Linked DNA regions of Rattus norvegicus. The protein of the gene in region 1 purifies or fractionates together with the protein of each later gene. This does not show direct contact. Links are inferred from orthologs where the notes say so. Each region holds a gene or a part of one and is shown in the gene's direction. Other genes may lie near its edges.

Region 1 (3,500 bases):
ACTGAGGAAGAGACAGCAAAGGACAATGGTTAGTCCAACTCAGAGCAGGAGGGAGGGCTGGTCGCGTGCGGGAGCTTCACACGGGGTCATTTCTGAGAGCGTCTGAGAGTATCTGAGCTGCCACCTCAGTCACTAAGGACGGCTTTCTCTACCTCTCCTTGGGGATGATGGGGGCAGCATAGTTCATTTGTGAAACTCTGCTAAGCGCATGTTACGTCACAAAGCAGGGGTGTGAGAAGGGGCGGAGGATGTCTGAGAAGCACCCTAGTGTTAATGATGACCCTTTCCTTATTCTGTAATTAGGCCTTTGCCTAACTTTAATGCAGCATAGATCTTCTTTTTTTTTTTTTTTTTTTCTCTCTTTTTTCTTTTTTTCGGAGCTGGGGAGCACAGATCTTCTAAGGCGACAGAAGAGAGGGTTAATGGCTGGAGAATGGATCAGTAGTGCAGAGGAGCTTGGCTCCCAGTTCCTCCAGTGTCATGGTGCTCACAGCCTCTTGTAACTGTAGCTGTGAGGGCTCATGAATGTGTTCACACACAGTTGAAAAGTGAGCACCTTAAAGATCAGGTACAGTAAGCTTCTTTGAAAAAGAAGGGACTAAAGTGAAAATCCAGCTTTACTTGTAATTTCCCCAGAGCTAACCTGTCCCTGGCTAGAGGACTCATTACTGAATAAACAGAAACAAGATTTAGAATGCCGCCTTGCCTTGACAAGCAAAAGGCGTGTTCTGGGATCTGTCTGAGTTGCCTCCTAGCCGGGTGTGGTGGTGCATGCTCAGGATCAAGGAGCCCAGAGCTCGGGATGCAGAGGCAGAGGCAGGCGGATCTGAGTTAAAGAAGAGGCTCTCCTGTGTGAGGCCTATAGTGCTACTGTGCATGGAGAGTCGACTCCAGTCTTAACCCCATCTTCTTTAAGGTGAAGTTGAAGACCAGGAAGAGAAAGAAGACACAGAGAAGGAAAACACTGAGAAGGATGAAGATGATGTTGAACAGGAACTTGAGAACATAGACCCTACGTGGATGGAGTCCCCTAAGGCCAACGGCCATATTGAAAATGGCCTGTTTTTACTGGAGCAGCAGCTGGAGGATGAAGAGGATGAGGAAGATGACTGTGCAAACCCCGAGGAGTATAACCTGGATGAACCAAATGCGGAGAGTGATTATACGTATAGCAGCTCCTATGAACAATTCAATGGTGAATTGCCAAACGGACAGCCTAAGAGTCCAGAGTTTCCCACACCGCTGTTTTCTGGGCCCTTAGAACCTGTGGCCTCTGACTCTGTGCTGTCAGAGGGATCACCACTCACCGAGCCAGAGGAAAGCAGTCCATCCCGTGACAGAAGCAGGACAGTTTCAGCCTCCAGTACTGGAGACTTGCCAAAAAGTAAGTGCCATTTTGCATCTCTGTCTGCTGGCTCTGGGTAGGGTTACACCTGTGACGTACTGTGAAGGGAGTTGACTAGGCGAGAGCCACGAGGTCCTATCCCTGGCCTTTCTTCATTTACTGCATATTATTAAATGACATCAGATAGGTAAAATGGCCTTCCACCATTACCAACCTCACAGCTTTCTAGATACACCCTCTTGCAGCTGAGAGCAGTCGTTTTTGGGTTTTCAAGGGATCCCTGGCTGTTTTCATCCATACTGAGACGCCTTGTGTTTTATTTGATAGTTGCCCTTGTTTATACAACCATGCTTTCTTTCTGTTTGTTTTGTTTTGTTGTTGGTTTGGTTAGTTTTTGTTTGTTTTTTTGAGACCTGTTTTCTCTGTGTAGCCCTGGCTGTTAATGGAACTCTCTCTGTAGACCAGATTGGCCTCAAACTCAGAGATCTGCCTGCCTCTGCCTCCTGAGTGCTGGTATTAAAGGTGTGCACCACCATTGCCTGGCTCTATAACTCTGCTTCTGAGAAAGCACAATAACAGATTATACATTGGTTCTACATTCTGGTCTCCATGCGGTCCTATCTTCAAACACATAGTTTGTGCAAGTGCCATGAAGGAAAATTGAATATCACAATTGATTTTTATTCCGACCCTTAGGGGAAAAGTTCAGTGACTTTGCTATGCCCATAGTACATGACAAACAATTGAGCCAGCCTGACCCGTTCTGTAGCCTCTTTAGTTGCTGCCTCTGTCTGCTGGCTGTGCTGGATTGTCTTAGGCGTGGTGTTGCTCCCTTGGCGGTGGCTGCTTTACACCTCACCCTTGGTCTGACCAGAAGAAAATATAGGCTCATTTCTGGGCAAAGGTGGCAGAGACTTGTACCTTCTCTGCATTTATTGTTTCTGTTGCAGCTGATTTTCACACAAAGCAATTTTTACCATAGCTTTTCCTTATTTTTCTTAACTTGATTTTTTTTTTTTTTGGAGCTTGGGACCGAACCCAGGGCCTTGCGCTTGCTAGGCAAGCGCTCTACCACTGAGCTAAATCCCCAACCCCTTGTTATTTTTCATGTGATAACTTAGAACAGTAGTTTTAAATATAGAAAACTGAATTCCAGCTTAAACTTAGAATAACCATGGGACTTCAGTTTCTTAACCTCTTCATGCCCCATTTTTGTTTGCTTTTGTTTTTTCTATTGAAGGAAAGCAGTGGCCACACCAAATGGCCATTGAAGCAAATGCTACATACTGAACTGTGTGTGAGAAGTTCGGTACGTGTGCCTCGGTTGTTCAACACCTCCTCACACGCACATTCATTACTGCCCTGTCACACCAGCAGTGCCTGCGGCCCGGGCTCTGTGGACAGACTGCTCAGCATAGTCTTGCCGAGAGCTCAGGGATCTCTCGATTTATTCCGTCTCCCACATCATCATTCATTCTTTCTGGGGAGCCAGGATAGGTAGATACAGGTTAAAACCTGAAAAGAAAAAAATTCTTTCTAGAACAATTTTATGTGCTTCGGTGTTGGCGTGCATGTGTGTCTGTGTGAGGGTGTTGTGCCCTGAAACTGGAGTTACAGTTGGAGCTGCCGTGTGGGTGCTGGGAACTGAACCCAGTCCTCTGGAAGAGCAGCCAATACTCTCAACCACAGAGCCGTCTCTCTGGCCCTCAGAAAGAAATCCTCATAAAAAAGAAGAGAGAATTTATAATCGTAGTGTGTGAGGAGGTATTCTAACTTAGGCAAAATCTAAAATTCCAGTGCAGAAAGATTATTGAATTCAAAACTCATGGTTTTCATTAAAGAAGGCTTGGGCACTGTGACAGAGGCGATCTTTTGGTGATTGTCAGGAGGCCGTGGTTGCTCTGCCTGCTGTGTCGTGGCGGAAGTAAGCGGACAGCAACTTGTCCTTGGGCCCTGCCGGCTCCTCCAGTAGCCCTGCCTTTCTTTTGCCATTGCTGCTTGCTCTGCTGTCCCTCTGGGAAGTTAGGCATCTTCCGTGTGCGTTACCTCCTCTGTTCTTCCTTGTTCTTGTCTTGCTGAACTCGTCCTGTTGACGGATCTGCACCTGCCCGTGATTTCCACTGGCTTCTGTGAATTGCTGCTTCATTCCCCAAGC
Region 2 (4,199 bases), on another chromosome or scaffold:
GTTCACCACTCAGCATGAAGACCAGAGTTTAATATCCAGCACATACATGTAAAACAGTGGTTTATAATTGCAGTGCTGGGGTTGGGGATTTAGCTCAGTGGTAGAGCGCTTGCCTAGCAAGCTCAAGGCCCTGGGTTCGGTCCCCAGCTCCGAAAAAAAAAAAAAGGAAAAAAAATGTAAATGATATAATTGCAGTGCTAGGTAGCAGAAATAAAAGGATTCTTGGGGCTCTCAGGCTGACAGAGAGCTCATGTTCCAGTGAGACATCCCTTCTCCTTTCTTTTTCTTTTTGAGACAGGGTTTTTCTGTATAACAGTCATGACTGTCCTGAAACTTGTTTTGTTGACCAGGCTGGTCTCAAACTCGCAGATATCCACCTGCCTGTACCTCTCAAGTGTTGGGATAAAGAGGTGCACCATCATGTAGGACTGAGACTTTCAATCTTTAATCCTAGAACTCAAGAGGCAGAAGCAGGTGGATCTCTTCAATTCACCAAAATCCACCTGACTCTGCCTGCCCAGTGCTAGGACTGTAACACCAAGCCCAGCTAAGTTTCCCTACGCTTTCAAAAGTTTAGATTGAGGAGCGGTGGCACTGTGCGCCTTTAATCCCAGCACTCAAAAGGCTGAGACAGGGGAGTCTCTGTGAGTTTGAGGCCAGCCTGGTGAGTTCCAGGCTAGCTAAGGCTACAGAGAAACCCTATCTCGAAACAAACAAAAAGTGGATAGTTCCAGAGACTATAGAACTCTAGAAGGTGACCTCTGGTCTCCTCTACGTGTCCCTGAACACACAGTAACACTCGACACAAAACGAAGGAAAATAAATTCCTGGATTGGAACTATCACAACATAATTCCTCCAATCGCATATAGCCTATTCCTTGATTTACCTCTCTAAAAATCGAGAAAATCCAGACAAAACCAGGTAGAAGAGTTGAGGATTTAGCTCACTAGTAGAGTGTTAAGCGTTAAGGTCCTCGGTTCAATCCCCAGCATCGAACTGGGTGGGAGAGGGGGAGGGGGTGCAGACAGAGATAAGGCCTGGTAGAGGAGGCAGTAACTACAAGGACTAGGAAAATGGAGTCTGAGCACGAACGCAGCTTGCTCTTGTTTCCCTCACAGGAAGATGGCACCCTGGGCACCACGTGGACAAAGGGACGTTTTCTCCTTTTCGGAGCAGAGCCAAAGGTTCCAGAGCTTGACTGCTGCTTCTCCAAGTAAAAAAGGCTGACACCGCGGCGGGTAAGAATGTCAGGGTTCATCAGGGAAGGCACGGCGGGGCGGAGTCAGTGTCTGGCCCGGGCTTGCCCCCGGCCTAGGCCGGAGGTCCCGCCCCCTCGCCGCCGAAGCCGTGCCGCCATCGCCGCCCGGGCCTAGGCGTGTCTCCGCGGGCGCACGGCATGCTGGGAAGGTGCCCGGGCGGCGGCCATTTTGTCTTATCGGCTCCTCTTTGGAAGAGGCTTTTCGGCTTGAGAGTGGGCCGAGGGGTTGGTTCGGCGGCCGAGTGGCTGGTGGTTTTCGTTGGTGGGTGCTAGGGCTGGTGTGAGCAGCCGCCCGGAGGAAGCACCATGATTTCGGCCGCGCAGTTGTTGGATGAGTTAATGGGCCGGGACCGAAACCTGGCCCCGGATGAGAAGCGCAGCAACGTGCGGTGGGACCACGAGAGCGTAAGTCCCGTGGGCCTTGGGCCTGTGCCCAAGCGTCTGGGGGAGGGGAAGGGAAGGGAGGGCGCGGGCCCAGGCTGGCCTGGGTGGGTCGCGGCGCGATTTGGGGTCCGGGCCGCGGAGACTAAAGCACCTGACGGCTGAAGGAGGCGGGAGAGTGGCCCGGGAGGGAAGATTCCGCGCGAACCTCGGGGGTAGGGTGATTTGTTGTTCTATGGAGGAAGTCCGGGATTTCTCTTGGCGGGGCAGAAGAAGCACCTTGGTGAGGCCGGGAAACGCGGGAAAAGGAAGGAAGGGCTCGTTTTATTACACCAGAGCTCCGTGTTTTTAACCGCATGAAAAAGAAAGGCAAAGTCTTCCGTTATATTGATGCAGCCATCATATTTAAATATGCTTGACTTCTGACCAGTATTAGTGGGGAAAAAATCGTAGTACTGCATTATTTAGGAGTGGTTGGTTCCATTTCGACGGTCCTTTGGGTAGGTAGACATTTGAAACAGGTGACTTGGTACAGTTTATCATAAACAGTGTTTGCTAATGCGGTTTGATGGCAGTTGGACGCCTGTTTGGTGGCAGTAGTCAGTCCCTTAGATAGGCGGTTGTCGAGGTTTTTTGTTTTCACATAAACTCACTCAATCCTTTTACTCTCTTAGGGTTAAATATAACTCCAGGGTCACAGGTGAGGCAGGAGCAGCTCACTCGAGGTCTCATGTAGTCGGCAAAGCTAATTTTTTAGCACTGTTCAGGTTGCACTGTTCTGTGAAGCTGGCTTCGTGCATATACTACACTGTATTTCAAGTACTTTTTATCTAGTTTTGTACACGGAGCACATTGTTTTAGGTCTGAACTGGAGAATAGGTATACTTGATTTTACCTTGCAATTAAAATCAAACCGCAGTTTTAAGTCATTTGCTAATAAAATATGAAAAAGTGGCTCAACAAAAGCTTTGTTTTTTTTTTGTTTTTTGTTTTTTGTTTTTTTTTTTTTGAGGCAGTGCTTTACTTTGTAGGTCAGGTGGTTTTCGAACTTGAAATCCTCCATCAGCTTCCAGAGTGCTGGGATTACTAGTCACAGATGGGCTTTTCAAGAAAGTAAATTATGCATTGTTTTCTCTTCTTCCTCTCTTCACCCCCACTTTCAATTGAAGTTTTTTGTTGTTGTTGGGCTTGGGGGGGCTTTGGGTGTATTTTTTTTTATTCTGGTTTTGTTTTGCTTTTTTAAAGATTTACTTATTATAAATAGGTACACTGTAGCTGTCTTCAGACACACTAGAAGAGGGCATCAGATTTTATTACAGATGGTTGTGAGCCACTATGTGGTTGCTGGGATTTGAACTCAGGACCTCTGGAAGAGGTGCTCCTAACCACTGAGCCATCTCTCCAGCCCAAGGGTTTGGTTTTTCAAAACAGGGTTTCACCGTGTTTCCCCTGGCTGTCCTGGAACTCACTCTGAAGATGAGGTTGGCCATGAGATCCTCCTGCCTCTGTTAGAATTAAAGGTTTGGACCACCCCTGACTGGCGTTGGGTTTTTTTTTTTTTTGTTTTTTGTTTTGTTTTGTTTTGTTTTGTTTTGTTTTTTCCTTTTCCTAATGAGAGTCTCTATGTTTAGCTCTGGTGTCCTGGAACTTGCTCTAGGTCAAGGCTGGCCTCAAACTCAAGAGATCCCTTGCCTCAGTCTTCTGAGCCAGGGATTAGTCAATCTAAACTTTTTTAAAGGTTAGGAAAAATTAGCTGTGCTGGGTGGTACACACCTATCAATTATCCCAGCACCGAGGAGGCAGAGGCAGGTGGATCTTGGTGAATTTCAGGCCAGCCAGAGAACTATTATCTTGAAACTGTCTCAGAAATAAACAACAAAGGTGGGGGGGGGTAATTTTTCCCTATAGGACATTTGTGTTTTGGATTAAAGATAAATGTGATTTCATTCCGTACACCTCATAGTTTTGAACACATCTTGGGAAGAATGGCACATAATAATGTATGTGGATAAGTTTTGAAAATAACAATCGAGGCTTTAATTTTCTTTCAGTTACTTTCTTCAAGTCAGTTAGATGCTGCCCTTTTTGGTTTTTAATAAAACCTCCAAGAGATAGGCAAATCCAGCATTCACTGTCTAATACGGTAATATAGTTTAGCAATTTTATTCCAGTTGGAGAATTTTCCTCCTAAAATTATTTGGTGGGTGTAAGGAGATGGGGGCGTTTGTTGGCCATGGGTCCTCAACTTGGCAGCAGGTGCCTTTACCCAGTACAGAACCATCTTTCTGGCCTGTATTCAAATTTTTTCTCTGCCAGTCTTGAATTAGACAGAGAAAAGCCATATAACTGATAATTGGGCAGACCATTTTTCTTTGACTTCTTTGATAAGGATGAAAAAATATCAAAAAAGATCACTGGAAACCAAGCCTGTAATTTTAGCACAGAGTTCCAAACTAGCCTAAAGCTATCCCTGCCTCAAACAAGGAGATTAAATTCCAACTATTGGAAGATCTGTAGCTATTTTGCAGTTAAAATGGAAGCTTGCATGGTGGTATTCC
Region 3 (4,032 bases), about 110 Mb from region 1:
AGCGCTTGCCTAGGAAGCGCAAGGCCCTGGGTTCGGTCCCCAGCTCCGAAAAAAAGAACCAAAAAAAAAAAAAAAAAAAAAAAAGAAAGAGTGTTCCCTATGATCTGTTGACTGAGGGAGAGAAGACTCGGACCTGGTTTACTGGCAGTTCTACACATTATGCCAGCACCACCAAGAAGTGGACAGCTGCAGCATGACAACTCCTTTCTGGATTGTAGTTAATTCCAGAATCCAAATAGACCCACTAAACATTGTGCTTCTTTCTTGGTAGTGGGAGGAACCAGGTGCAATAGCTTATCTTTCCCCTCGGAAGCCCCATACCACCGGCCTCCTAAGAATTTCATCAAAGGAGATGGTCCTTTAATTTTGATTGATCTGTTTATATTGGCATAACTGAGTCTACTTGAGAAGATAGAACAATGAGGAAAACAGTTTTAAAATTGTCTTAACCCATTGTTTTTCATGGGTAAAATTAATCAGGATTATAGATGTTTACCACCCAGGTTTTTTTCCCTCCTTGTATAGTGAAATGACAAAAGGATTTTCAATATTAGTCCTTTGACTTAAACTTGTATTCCATTCTATTTTCCCATTTTATTATTCTATCTGTCTGTCTGTCTGTCTATCTATCTATCTATCTTTTTGTTTTTTGAAACAGGGATTCTCTGTGTAGCTTTGGTTTTCCTGGAATATCCTCTCTAGACCAGTCTGGCTTCTTTCACAGATACCTGCCTGCCTCTTGCCTATGCCAACACAGCGCAGCCTAATTTCCCATTTAAGAGGTGGGAGATAAGAATTATGCCTATAATTCCAGCAGTTGAAAGGCAGAAGCAGGTAGGAGCTATGTGAGTTCAAAACCAGCCTAGAGCTACATAGGGTGTTCCAGACTTTTCTTGAAAAAGTGTGTGTGGAGGGGGTGAGCAGTAAAGGCGCGAGTACCATATTGCAAATAAGTGCTATGTGAATATAACTTTGTGATACTGAGGAAATAGTAATCAGAGAAGGCCTCATGAAAGAGAGGAGGACAAACAAGACCAGCATAGTTTGCAGGTTCTAAAACCCGAGTGATGCTACCCAGACAACTGCAGGTGTGGGGCCAGCCATAGCTGGCGATCGCCCCCTTCTGGAAGAGTGCGGCCTTGCCCCTGACAGAGTCTTCAGAGAACGCTGAGCCTGAGGCACGCAGGCGCGGTGAGCGGACGAGGGCTTTAGGCGAAGATGCGCATGCGTGTAGCCCCATGGAGGCGGTAGCTGCTTCGTCGCTGTGACTGGAGGCCGAGTGCTAAACTGTGTGGGGCACGGATGGGATCCAGCTGTTAGTCGGTAGGCATAGGTAGGGCCGCTGCCTTGCGGGGAGCCGGGGACTGGAAGGCGGAGGCCCTGAGCGCAGGCCCCGAGCCGTCCCTGTGAGGTCGCGGTCGACTATTGTATGTGTCGCAGCCGCTGCGTACAAGATGGCGGCGGTGGGGCGGGCGGAGCTGAGGGACCCCGGGTGGGCCTCGGCCGTGGCCTGTTCCCCTTGTCACTCGCTGACCGCGCCGTTGCGCCGCAGTGCCGCTCGGCGCAGCCGCCTAATGCCGCCGCTTGCGGAGGAGCGGGTGGCGTCCTCCGGGAATCCCTGCCGCCCCTTCCTCAGCGCCGCGGGTCTGCCTCTCAGGCCTGACAGCTAGCGGGGAGGCTGCCGCGTGCCCGAGCGCCTTTCGGAGACCCGTGGGCCGCGTGCGCCCTTAGCCGGGCTGGAAGAGCGTCCCTGCAGGGGGTGGGAGTGGGGTGTGCGGGGTGTTGTGGGCTAAGCGCCCCAGTGAGCACCGAAGTCGAGATTGTTGGTCCTGGGATGTCGTCGAAAATGGCGGTGACACTTCCACATTCTTAGAGGAGTCGAGAACACCGATGTGGGGATATTTGCTTCTGTTGGTGTGGTTCCTAACTTGGGCCTGTTTTGTTAAAGAGCAGGGAGGTCTGTACCACTGACTCTCATCCCCGAGGATGTTTCAGACGTCCTTTGTTGTTTGAAGTAATTGCCTATGAGGGAGTCTCAGTATTACAAAATCTTTGAGCTTGACAATGATCGTAGCCTCGAGCTATTTAATATTAAAATTACCCTTGGCAGTTTGGGAATTCTAGAAGGAACACTCAATGTGAAAAGTTCTGAAGAAAAGCTTCTTCACCAGCATCCACCCGACCATGTGAAGTCATCTTTTTCCTACCCAGTTTTGAAATTGTTCATACACAAAATTCTCCCTCTTGTCATTTTGTGTATGAAGGGTTAACTTGTTTTTCAAAAGAGTTGCGTTTACTGCTTATGTTTATAAATTTAAAATGACAGACTGGAAAAAGATTACAAGAAATATTAATATAAGGACGTTAACACAGGAAAATAAGTTTGTTTATTACATTTTTTTTATTACATATTTTCAAAATGTTATTGATTATACACTTAACCATAATGGGCTTATGCTGCATTCTGCTTTACAAAATTTGACTTTTATATTTCCATATTCTGTAGTGTGTACCTTCATATTTGTGGAATCCAAAATGTAATATACTAAAATATCCTAGGCTATTCCCCGCCTTGTCATTGTGTTGGAACCAATGGGTAAAGACAAAACAGTTGAAAGAAATCACAAAAATGTCCTTCATTTGTTTTGATTAACTGGTTTTCAAATGTATTTATATGACATATATTACCTTGTACATTGGATACATTGCAGTTTTTTGCATTTGTTGTGATGGAGTGTGCTTTAACCATAAATTCTAGTTCTAAAAAGTTCTCACAGTCATCATTTTCTGGATGTTGTAAGAATGTCTTAAGATCTCTGAATTTTGATTTTTATGTAATAAAAATGATGAGTCTAATGGACAGAGAATAGGTTTTGGGACCAGAAGTTATGGATTTAAATACATTGTTCTCTTACTATTATTATGTGTGAGACTTCAGTTGTTTTAGTCTTTGTGAAATTTTATGTTATTTGTAAACTTCGCTACTTGTTTGAACTTTCTTTTAGTATACTGAGATCCAGTATGGAATACTCCTATCCTTCAGCAGATAGATGTTTCTTAATTATTTCAAGTTTTACTTGTTTCAAAATTTAACTTGACTAGGTAACATCTTCTAATAGAAAATTGTAGCCTATGGATACTTCCTTTTAACTAAAAGATGGAATTTAGATTAACAGAATTGAAAACTATCAAACTTGAAAATGTCTTGCATCTATAAATTTATTGCATTTAACCAGAATTTAGTGTAATAGTTTATTGATTATTTACAAAATCTTGCTAGGTAGCAGATTAGCCTAGAACTCAATGTGTTGATTAGATCAGGGTGCCCTTGCATTTGGAGGCAGAAGTAGGATGATAACTCCAAGTGCTAGGATTACAGACATGACCCCTGCTTTGTAGCAACTAAATAATTACGTCAGTCTTCGTGTCTGAGTGACTGGTGTATGTATTGGATGCTCCAGTATTAAATGTATGAACTCAGCCCACAGGTGCAAGAGCCTGGGTGGGTTCTCATGCTTATTTCACTGTGCCTTGACATTGATGACAGTTTGAATAAGTATCCAGTTTCTTAATGAAATGTTATAGTAAACTAAGAAACAGTGCTTCTAAAATAGGCACCTAGTAATACAGTGGACTAATGAATATTGAAATGTTGATGTTAGTAGATTAGCAAATAAAACATTTGCTGTGACTAAAGTTAATAAGCCCTCATTTATATCCAATCTTTTATTGTTTTTATTATTCTAAATTTGTTCCATTGTTTGTGGTTGAAAATAAAAGTGGAAGGAAAATATATAGACAATCAGAAAAGAATAGTGAAAAGAATTGTGAGAGAAGGTGATGTGTAGAATTAAAACTCATAGCCATATTGTTTCTATGAGAATCAAGAATAATAAGTTTTGGATTGACAGGGTAGGGAACATAGCAATAGCTTCAAGGTGCTTGTATGAGCATAGTGATTACTTGGGATGTAAATATTTTGATTATTTCTCATTCTTTTGAAATCAAACTCTGTTCATGTTCTAGTCCTAA
Region 4 (4,300 bases), on another chromosome or scaffold:
ATCCCTAGATTCTGCTCACCCACTGTGTGGGACCACATGCAGCTCTTTTGCCTTATCCCATAATTTTCCTTCTCTGCTCCTGTTCCAGGGATTTATCATCAGTGGGACCACTCTTTATGCCTCACCTCTGCCCAAGGCCTCAGCTACTAACTTTGTTTCAAGGTCTTTAGTTCTGGTCAATCTTGCTCTTGGCTCTAGGTCCGCCTTGTTCTGAACTCTGGTGGGAATCAGAGTGTGAGGCTGTCCTTCCCAACAACACAGAGGGATGCATTTAGTTAGAAAAGCAGAAAATGCTCTTTATTTTCAGATATACCTAATTTACATTTCTGGAGTCATGTGGGGTGGAGATTTCACTTCTGATTGAAATGTCTGATTGGAATTGAGGAAGAAACCAGGCTGAAAGAAACTTGTATCATAGTAGTCCACATGGGAGCTGTGAAGCCACCACTCAGAAAGGAGACTCTGAAGAGGAAGAACTTTGAGGAGTATCTAGTTAGGGAGAGACAGCAGGAAATTAGCAAAGAAGACTGGATTCTAGACATCATGTACCAAAATGATGGATGTCACAGAAATAGGGAGAAGGGTTTGAAGGGGACAGCAATACCCGAAAAAGGGTCATTTAAGTTACAAGATAATCAGGAGGCAAGAGTAGCTGGATGGAGGCTGGCAGGATTCCCAAGGATCCAAAACAAAAAAACAAACAAACAACCCCCCCCCCAAAAAAAACAACAAAAAAACGGTGGCTTAATTAAAATGATAGGGAAAACAAATATGGGAAAGTTGGCTTCAATCCATGTAATTCTGTACGGATCAGACTCTGTCTATGTCCTGGTCCTGGGTTCAGGGCAGCTGTGCGGGGCAGTTTTTTTCACTGGCCCATGCCAGATGAAGGCTGAGCGCCTTCAAACCACCGCGAGGCTGCAAGGTCAGGAGAGGGAGCTCGAGCCACCTGGAAGGATGCAGTCTTTTCTATCGTCAGAAGTCCCTGTCAACATTATTTACTCCAATAAATAACTTTCCACAGTGCCAGGCGACAGCATTTGTTGCTCAGGGGACACACAGTGATGCAAGAGCCCCGCTCTATGTCTTCCTGCATGTCACTTGCCCTGACCACGGCGTCCCCAGAGGTGGCGAACAGCCTTTGGAGCCCTGAGGCTTGCTTGGGTGAGGGGAGTGTTTCCTGAGACCCCGCCAAGGTGGCCAGCCTGGAGTATCTCCTTCACCCCGCAAGGTTATTCCCCACCCTCCACCTCTCAAACCCAGCCGATCTCCACAGCAGCTCATCCGGTCTCCTTATCTCTCGGCCGCGGACTTCACGGCCGAGTGGGGGCGCTGTCGAGGAGCACGTCCGGGCGGACGCGCGGGCCACGCCTCGCAGACATTCAGGAAATGATGCAATGCTTGAGCCCTGCAGCTAAAGTTCAGTCAAGCCGAATGGCGGAAGTCCCGCCCAACCCCGCCGGCGGAAGTCCCGCCCGCTCTTGACGGCGGAAGTCCGGTCCTCCGCTTCTCCAGGTTTCCTCGTGCGTTCCACCGCCGGCATGGCGCATTACAACTTCAAGAAGATTACGGTGGTGCCGTCAGCCAAGGTAGGGGTGATCGAGGTCGTTCCCGCCTATCTCCCTTCCCCTGACAAGTCTCCAGGGAGGGTTTAGTTCTGTATCCCCGAGACCGGGGGAGGGAGGACGCCTTGGATCCACTCGGCCCTCAGACCCGAGCTCCACTTGTTAGGCTTTGTCCTCGGCACTCTCGGAGATCAGTCACACTCTCTGGAACCAAACCCCTCTCCCTCTGTCCATGGGTGCCCTGAATCCTAGAATCCCTCCAAGACCTCAGAACTCTTCCAGGACCTATTATTCTTCTGTGCCCTGCCGACGTGACAAAGTGTCTGGGTGCTGGCCGCAGTAAGGAGCAAGGCAGGAAGCCTGGAGTGGTTAGTGGTGAGCGTCGTGAGACCCCTGCTTTAGGATTCTAGATTCAACGTAGTATCCTCCCTTTTAAGTAAAACTTGATTCGTGCTGTCACGGTCTAAAAAATTCTAGGTAGTTGTCATTTGTCGTTGGATTTAGAAAATGCAATTGGTTTTAAGCACGCAAGGCCAAATTTATGTGACGTAGCAAGATACGTTCCTTCCAAATGTCGAGTATTATTAGTTAGGCTAAAGAACCTAAAAAGATACACGTGTTTCTTTGGCAAGCCATGGGCATTGAATCGCAGGATCAACTAGAGGAACCAATGTCACTGTCATTAAATTTACAGCAGTGTGGGTATTTTCGATATCTTCCTTTATGAAAGAGCTTGTTCTGAACTTTGTTAATATAATTGACCTAGTAAAGAATTGAACGCAGCATGTGTCTCTGTTGCCCTGAAGGAGTTCTGCTGCTAGAAAACAGATTAAGTTAGCATATGTATTAATAGGCGATGGGAATCCTTCGGTGGTTGGAAATAACTCAAGTCTAAAGAGTATGGGGTATTTTTGTAAAAGTGTGTGCTAGGTTCTGTGTATAGACACTCAAAAGAATAGTCTACGTCTTTAAGAATCATTTTCTGAAGGAATAACAAAATGCATTTAGACCCACTGCAGTATCATGGAGAACTGTGTGAAATACATTTGGCCCTCTGTGTTTGAGTTCAAATCCAGATTCAACCAACCGCAGACCAAGAACACTATTTGAAAACTGCATCCACATTTAATGTGCACAGACTTTATTTTCCCTTTTTTGTTGTTTATCTGTTTGTTTTCTTTCTTTTTGGAGATGGTCTTACTAAGCTGACATGGCTGGCCTGGAACTTAAAGAAATATGCCTGCTTCTGCTTCAGAGTGTTAAGATTAAAGGCATGAGCCTCCATGCACTAACATTCCCTAAATATATGACATATGTATGTGGATTCTTCTATACACAAGCACTGTACCACTTTATAATGAATTCAGATATCTGTTTGAGAGCTATTGTGGTGAGGGCGTGTGGGGAGAAACTCTGACTGTAAACTCCTGTAAGTATCAGGGATTTGGGATAGCATAAGAATGTAGGGAGAACAGGGCAGTGTTGATGTACGCCTTTAATCCTAGTGCTCAAGAGGCAAAGGCAGGAGATCTCTGGGTTTGGGGCTAACCTGGTGTACACTGAGCAAGATAAGTTGTAGGACAGCCAAGGCTACAGGCAGAGAAACCCTGTTCAGAAAAACAAAACAAACAAACAAAAACATGCTGATAAAAGGGAGAGTCTGGAGAAACTTTTCAGTAGGCAACTTTTACTGTCTCCCTAAAGATGTGAGGACCATGGTAAGGAACAGAGGGGAGGAACAGAGGCCTGAGTGTTCATGCTCTTCATAATCCCTGGCAGACTATTGCGATTACCTGCTTGCCTTTGGTTTTGCTTCACGGGATCTTGGCGCCTAGTTCACTGCTTTGTCCACCATTGTTGTTCATTCTATCCTTTATTACAGGACACGAGCAATATTGTTGAGGTAATGGAAGTGATCAAGGGAAAGGAGAACAGTTTTGTATGGTTGGGTAAAAGTGAATAGGGACAAATAGCTCAAATCCTCAGTCTCCTCAACATACATAGGGAATTTTAGATGGTGGGTTTTAGATTTTTCATTTTATAACCCCTTAAAATCACAACTACAATGTCCTTGAAATTGAAGAACTGTCTCTTTTTCTTCTGATTTATTCTTGAGTTTTCTTAGGAGTTTGCAAGTTAAAATAGTATTAAAAAAACATGGGTTAAAATATATTTCAGCAACCATTAGCAAGTCCTTTCCTCTACATTGGGCAGATTTATAGGAATGACTAGGGAGGGGCCTCCTCCATCAGTTGGGAGTATTCACAGGGTTTTCAGCCACTCCAAACGAGGGTCCTGGGGGTGGCTGGACACGTCGAGCATGCCCTCATTATCAGGGATGGATGGGGCTGGGTGTTTGTAAGGTGTGGCCTGGTTGGTCATGGTTGGTGTAGGGGCTGAGTGAGGGCATAGTTAAAGCAGGGCTTTGGCACTAAAGGACACCACCAGCACCGGCCCTTTCAGTCAGGCATTCCTGAGGAGTGTGGCGAGTCTCTCAACTGTCTTAGTGTTGGTGGTGGGTAGCAAGTTTTCATAAGGGCCAGAAACTGTAAAGATGACCCAAGTTGTATATAAAACAATTGATTTTTGAAAAAATAAGTTTTGTAGTTTAAACCATATAGTACTGGACTAATGTTTTATGGTTATAAGCAAATGGCTAGAAAGTACATGTGTTTGAATTTCATCTTAATTATTTTCTTTAATCATAGGACTTTATTGACCTGACATTATCCAAG
Region 5 (4,194 bases), on another chromosome or scaffold:
ACACATGTCTTGCTTGTTCTCTCTAAAATTAATGTGCACAGCTTTTTAAATTTTGGTACAAGCGACTAGTCCCAACCTAAATGTTGATTTTTCCACAGTTACATGCACTGTGTGTTGGGAGTGGAGACAAGAGGCAAGAACCTTCTGTTCAAAGTACAAGCAACTGGTCCCAACCTAAATGCTGATTTTCCCACAGTTCCCCACTGTGTGTGTGTGTGGGACGTAGGGGGTGGTCATGAGACAAGAACCTACTGTACAGTGTATGAACCACCTCTGAAACCTGTAAAAAATGTTTATGTTCTATGACCCCCTTATTAAATTCTCTACCACACTAGTAAATTTTGGAGCAGGCTAGGTAAAGTTCTTGTCTCAAGGTAAGGTAAGGGTTAGAAAATCAGAAGCCACTTTATTAAAGTTCTGAAGAAAGTCCTTTTGCTTCTTTCTTGACTTAGGTAACCTAAAAAGTGTGATACGGATGCACACGTGTCTCTCAACAGTTTTCCTTAAAGCTTTATGCCTACAAGTACCACTCATTTTGCATCATGGATGCAAGTGTCAGCCAACTTATTCCAAAATACTTTAGTCCTACAGTTTGTATCTCCAACAAGGAAAACCTTCAACTCTCTAGGACCTAAATTTCTACCTGTTCTTACTTCTCCGAGTTGGAAAATTTGTATCCATGAAGAAAAGAATACCTAAACGTCAGTTCTAAGTCCCGGTTCAGGGTGACTGCCAGTTTCAAAGTGGCCCTACAGGGAGAAGTTTCTCCTAAAACTTCTCTTTTTCAGAGAAAGGGAATTATTTACCCAGGCTTTTTTACATTTACATGGCTTCCACTGTAAACTTAAATTCGATGTCATTAATAAATTTGCTGTCTGAGATCAAAGACACAATGCTACTTTTTCCCACGTTTGGAAGCAGCAGGTCTCTTATTCCTTAGCCACACAGGACAAAGCATTTCTTAGACCGAGTGGCTGGGATATAGAGGATGGGGACCACAGAGATTTCGCCAGGAAGCAGAAGGGTTCCCCAAAAGAAAACATTCAGACACCAAGTCTTATCCGGCCTAGGAGAAATTTCTTTTCCTCTTACCTCCCTTTTCCCCTTGGAGGGCGCCCAGAGATCACAAGAGTGCTTCAGCTCCTGCTCCAATTCCCCGAGTCTCTTCCATGTTTCCGGAAAACCCTAAGTACAGCCAGCCCCAGTAACCCACGCACTTCCGGTCCGGAACCAGCCCCAAGTACCCAAGTGCCCCAGCGCCTCAGCCCTCAAGTCCGGAGATAGCCGAATATCTCCGATTATGGGTATGCCAGATTCGAGGGCTTCCGAATAGATTCGATTCAAAGCCTCGGCAAGACGAAAACAAACGAACCTGAAAGTAAAATGGGAGGAGCCGGCCGCTAGGCAGATGGAAAAAGCCGATTGGTACCGATGTGGAGACGGAAACGACCGAACAGTTCCGGAGGAACCCGGGGAATTCTGAGCGGTAATAGAGGGGTAGACTATGGCAGTGGGCGGGGCCAGTTCGGTACGTTCGAAGGGCGTTGGCGGAAATTACCGAAGATGCCCGAAGCCGTCGGGACGGACCCGAGTACCTCACGCAAGATGGCGGAGCTGGAGGAGGTGACTCTGGACGGGAAGCCTCTTCAGGCTCTGCGGGTGACCGACCTGAAGGCCGCACTGGAGCAGCGAGGCCTAGCCAAGAGCGGGCAGAAGAGTGCCCTGGTCAAGCGGCTCAAAGGGGTGAGAAGTCAGCGTTGCCGAGGTGTCGGAGGGGAGCGGACCTGGTAGAGACGAGTCTCCGCTGCGGCGCAGGCGCAGTGTCCGGGCTCGGCGCGAGCTCTCTCAGGCCGCCAGCGCGAGCCTGCAGATCCACGCGCACGGTGGTTGGTGTGGCTGGCGCTGGAATAGAGATAACGCCGGTTCCCGCCTTAACGGCAGCAGCGCGAGCCCAAAATGGGAGGGTGCGCGCTACTCTCCCGGAGTGTCTTAAGCTCCTTCCTTCTTCCCCCACCCCCTCCTTGTTTGTGTCTGTGTTTTCGGCGCATGCGCTGCAGAAGGAGTTAAATCCCTCTACAACCACCGGTGTGGCTGGCCTTAAGGGGGCGAGCAGGGCTGTGTCCGAGTTAGGGATACAGTTGGGCGGATGGGGTTGGTGTCTGTGTCTGCAGTAGTACATTTTGGATAGGGTAAAAAATGTCCGCTTGACTAGATTAAAACCTTAGATGAAGGAAAACCTTGATAGAAGGACTTGTCAGAGACGGGTGTCTAATTTATAGGGAATCGAGAAACAGTCTGGATAAGAATTTGGTGAATATTGGTGCGAGAGGTGAGACAGATTACTTTAGGCTGGGGATTTTGTATCGGTTTGAGCAGTGAGAATGAGCTTGTTGTCGTGAGGTATACATACTGTGTATTGGTTTGGTGTAAATGGAGGGAAGGAAGGTGAGAAGGACTAGTGTAATTTGAGTTCATTAGGGTACGTGGCTCATAATACTGATAGGGACTCGGTCAGTTCAGGCTTTGAGTTGACAGACCGTTGCTTATCCCGAAGCTGACAGTTTGTGGGTGGGTGTGGATTAGGTCAGACCACAGGTTACAAGGTCTGTGGTTAGTTTCTCGGTGAAGTTTTTAGTACATTTGATTTGTCTGGGTGTCAACACTGATGGAAATTGTGCAGGTTCATTTAAGTAGTTTTAGTTCTGAAAATCAAATAATAGTCAAATCTAAATTAGCAGCCTAGTGTTGGTTTCATGTAATTTGAAACTTGTTTGAGTACTTGTAATTTTTTTTGCCTGTATTACCAGATTTAAAAGTGGCTCCTAGTCAAAATTACAGACAATAACAGGGGTTCTAGTTCTGATTCTGCCACTTTTGCTGATTTTTTTGTGACATAGCCAGGTCACTGATTCTTTGTGTGCCTGTATTTTACATCCGTATACTTGGGAGCAGTAACCATGGCTACCTTTAAGCGACTTATGAAGATGAATGAGAACAATATTAATAAAGCGCTTTTAGGCTCTGTGAAAGGAATGTAGTATAAATGTATATTTAAGTAATTTAGTGAAAAGGCTGTGGGAGAGGTAGAGATCTGGAGTGCTTTTTTGTTCCCCCTCCTGGTTTCTGATTTTTGCTCTTCTTTATACCAGGCTCTAATGCTAGAAAATTTACAAAAACACTCAACACCCCATGCTGCATTCCAGCCAAATTCTCAGGTAAGAAAAAAGGTTTGTTTAGATAGAATGGGCTATTTGGAGAAAATGGTAAATGGGAAGACTTGGTGTCTTCCATGTTTATCAGAAACAGAATTTTCTTGTTTTTTTATTGCAAGTGATCTCAGTTACTGGGTTTTTGTTTTGTTTGTTTTTGTTTTGTTTTTTTAAGGTCTGTTTTTATTTTATGTGTGTGGGTGATTTGCCTCCAACGGGTGCCCACAGAGGCCAGGAGAGAATGTCAGATCCTCTGCAACTGGAGTTACAGACAGCTGTGAGCCACCATGTGGGTGCTGAATCGAACCTGGGTCCTCTATAAACGCAGCCAGTGTCTTAACCATTGAGCTATCTCTCCAGCCCTCAGACAGTTGAATTCTAATCACCCTCAATTTTGCATAAAGACCTGGAGTTTTAAAAAAAAGAAAAGAAAAAAATATATATATATAAATAAAATCAAAGGAGCACTGAATGAATTTTGAATTCTTGGAGTGTGTCAAAAGTATCACTCTGGGGGTTGGGGATTTAGCTCAGTGGTAGAGCGCTTGCCTAGGAAGCGCAAGGCCCTGGGTTCGGTCCCCAGCTCCGAAAAAAAGAACCAAAAAAAAAAAAAAAGTATCACTCTGATTAAGTGTGCCACAAGAATCTGAAGTCACTTGCCATCAGCTTAGGGGAAAGTTATCTTTGAATATAGATCTTTGAATATAGATGTAACAAAATACTTTTTCATCAAGAACTCTTTTATTGGTACAAATTTACTTTAAAGAATTTGATACTGTATTAATAAACCCTTATTTCTAGGACTAACTCTTAAACATCCTTAAAACCTTGATGACTTAGGACAAGGTACTTAACACTTAGAGACCTTTGTTTCTTTACCCGAAATAGGAAAAGTAGTTTGACTTAGTTCATGGTTTTATAACTGCTCTGCTGGGGTGTCTTAGGGGAAAAAACTTTGTTCTAAGAGTTCCTGCATAAACGTTTT

The links. Proteins that work in one complex are often made in the same cells at the same time.
Region 2: the proteins of Srpk2 (region 1) and Luc7l3 purify together in Homo sapiens (affinity purification with mass spectrometry; 3 studies listed by BioGRID and IntAct, with this or other methods). This does not show direct contact. The link is inferred for Rattus norvegicus from reciprocal best matches to the Homo sapiens genes SRPK2 and LUC7L3.
Region 3: the proteins of Srpk2 (region 1) and Zfp638 purify together in Homo sapiens (affinity purification with mass spectrometry; 3 studies listed by BioGRID and IntAct, with this or other methods). This does not show direct contact. The link is inferred for Rattus norvegicus from reciprocal best matches to the Homo sapiens genes SRPK2 and ZNF638.
Region 4: the proteins of Srpk2 (region 1) and Gtpbp4 purify together in Homo sapiens (affinity purification with mass spectrometry; 3 studies listed by BioGRID and IntAct, with this or other methods). This does not show direct contact. The link is inferred for Rattus norvegicus from reciprocal best matches to the Homo sapiens genes SRPK2 and GTPBP4.
Region 5: the proteins of Srpk2 (region 1) and Acin1 purify together in Homo sapiens (affinity purification with mass spectrometry; 3 studies listed by BioGRID and IntAct, with this or other methods). This does not show direct contact. The link is inferred for Rattus norvegicus from reciprocal best matches to the Homo sapiens genes SRPK2 and ACIN1.

What each region holds. Positions count from the first base shown.
Region 1 is NC_086022.1:12,527,243-12,530,742, forward strand, and holds part of Srpk2 (SRSF protein kinase 2), read left to right. Parts: coding exon 1-28; intron 29-916; coding exon 917-1,384; intron 1,385-3,500. UniProt on the Homo sapiens protein: Serine/arginine-rich protein-specific kinase which specifically phosphorylates its substrates at serine residues located in regions rich in arginine/serine dipeptides, known as RS domains and is involved in the phosphorylation of SR splicing factors and the regulation of splicing.
Region 2 is NC_086028.1:79,770,630-79,774,828, reverse strand, and holds the start of Luc7l3 (luc7-like protein 3), read left to right. Parts: upstream 1-1,399; 5' UTR 1,400-1,566; coding exon 1,567-1,665; intron 1,666-4,199. UniProt on the Homo sapiens protein: Binds cAMP regulatory element DNA sequence. May play a role in RNA splicing.
Region 3 is NC_086022.1:117,958,819-117,962,850, forward strand, and holds the start of Zfp638 (zinc finger protein 638), read left to right. Parts: upstream 1-1,232; 5' UTR 1,233-1,333; intron 1,334-4,032.
Region 4 is NC_086035.1:65,997,883-66,002,182, forward strand, and holds the start of Gtpbp4 (GTP-binding protein 4), read left to right. Parts: upstream 1-1,500; 5' UTR 1,501-1,541; coding exon 1,542-1,589; intron 1,590-4,273; coding exon 4,274-4,300. UniProt on the Homo sapiens protein: Involved in the biogenesis of the 60S ribosomal subunit. Acts as a TP53 repressor, preventing TP53 stabilization and cell cycle arrest.
Region 5 is NC_086033.1:32,114,205-32,118,398, reverse strand, and holds the start of Acin1 (apoptotic chromatin condensation inducer in the nucleus), read left to right. Parts: upstream 1-1,394; 5' UTR 1,395-1,431; coding exon 1,432-1,743; intron 1,744-1,784; coding exon of another isoform or gene 1,785-2,179; intron 2,180-2,190; exon of another isoform or gene 2,191-2,329; intron 2,330-3,149; coding exon 3,150-3,215; intron 3,216-4,194. Other genes in the region: C15h14orf119 (uncharacterized protein C14orf119 homolog), read right to left, coding at 1,785-2,179.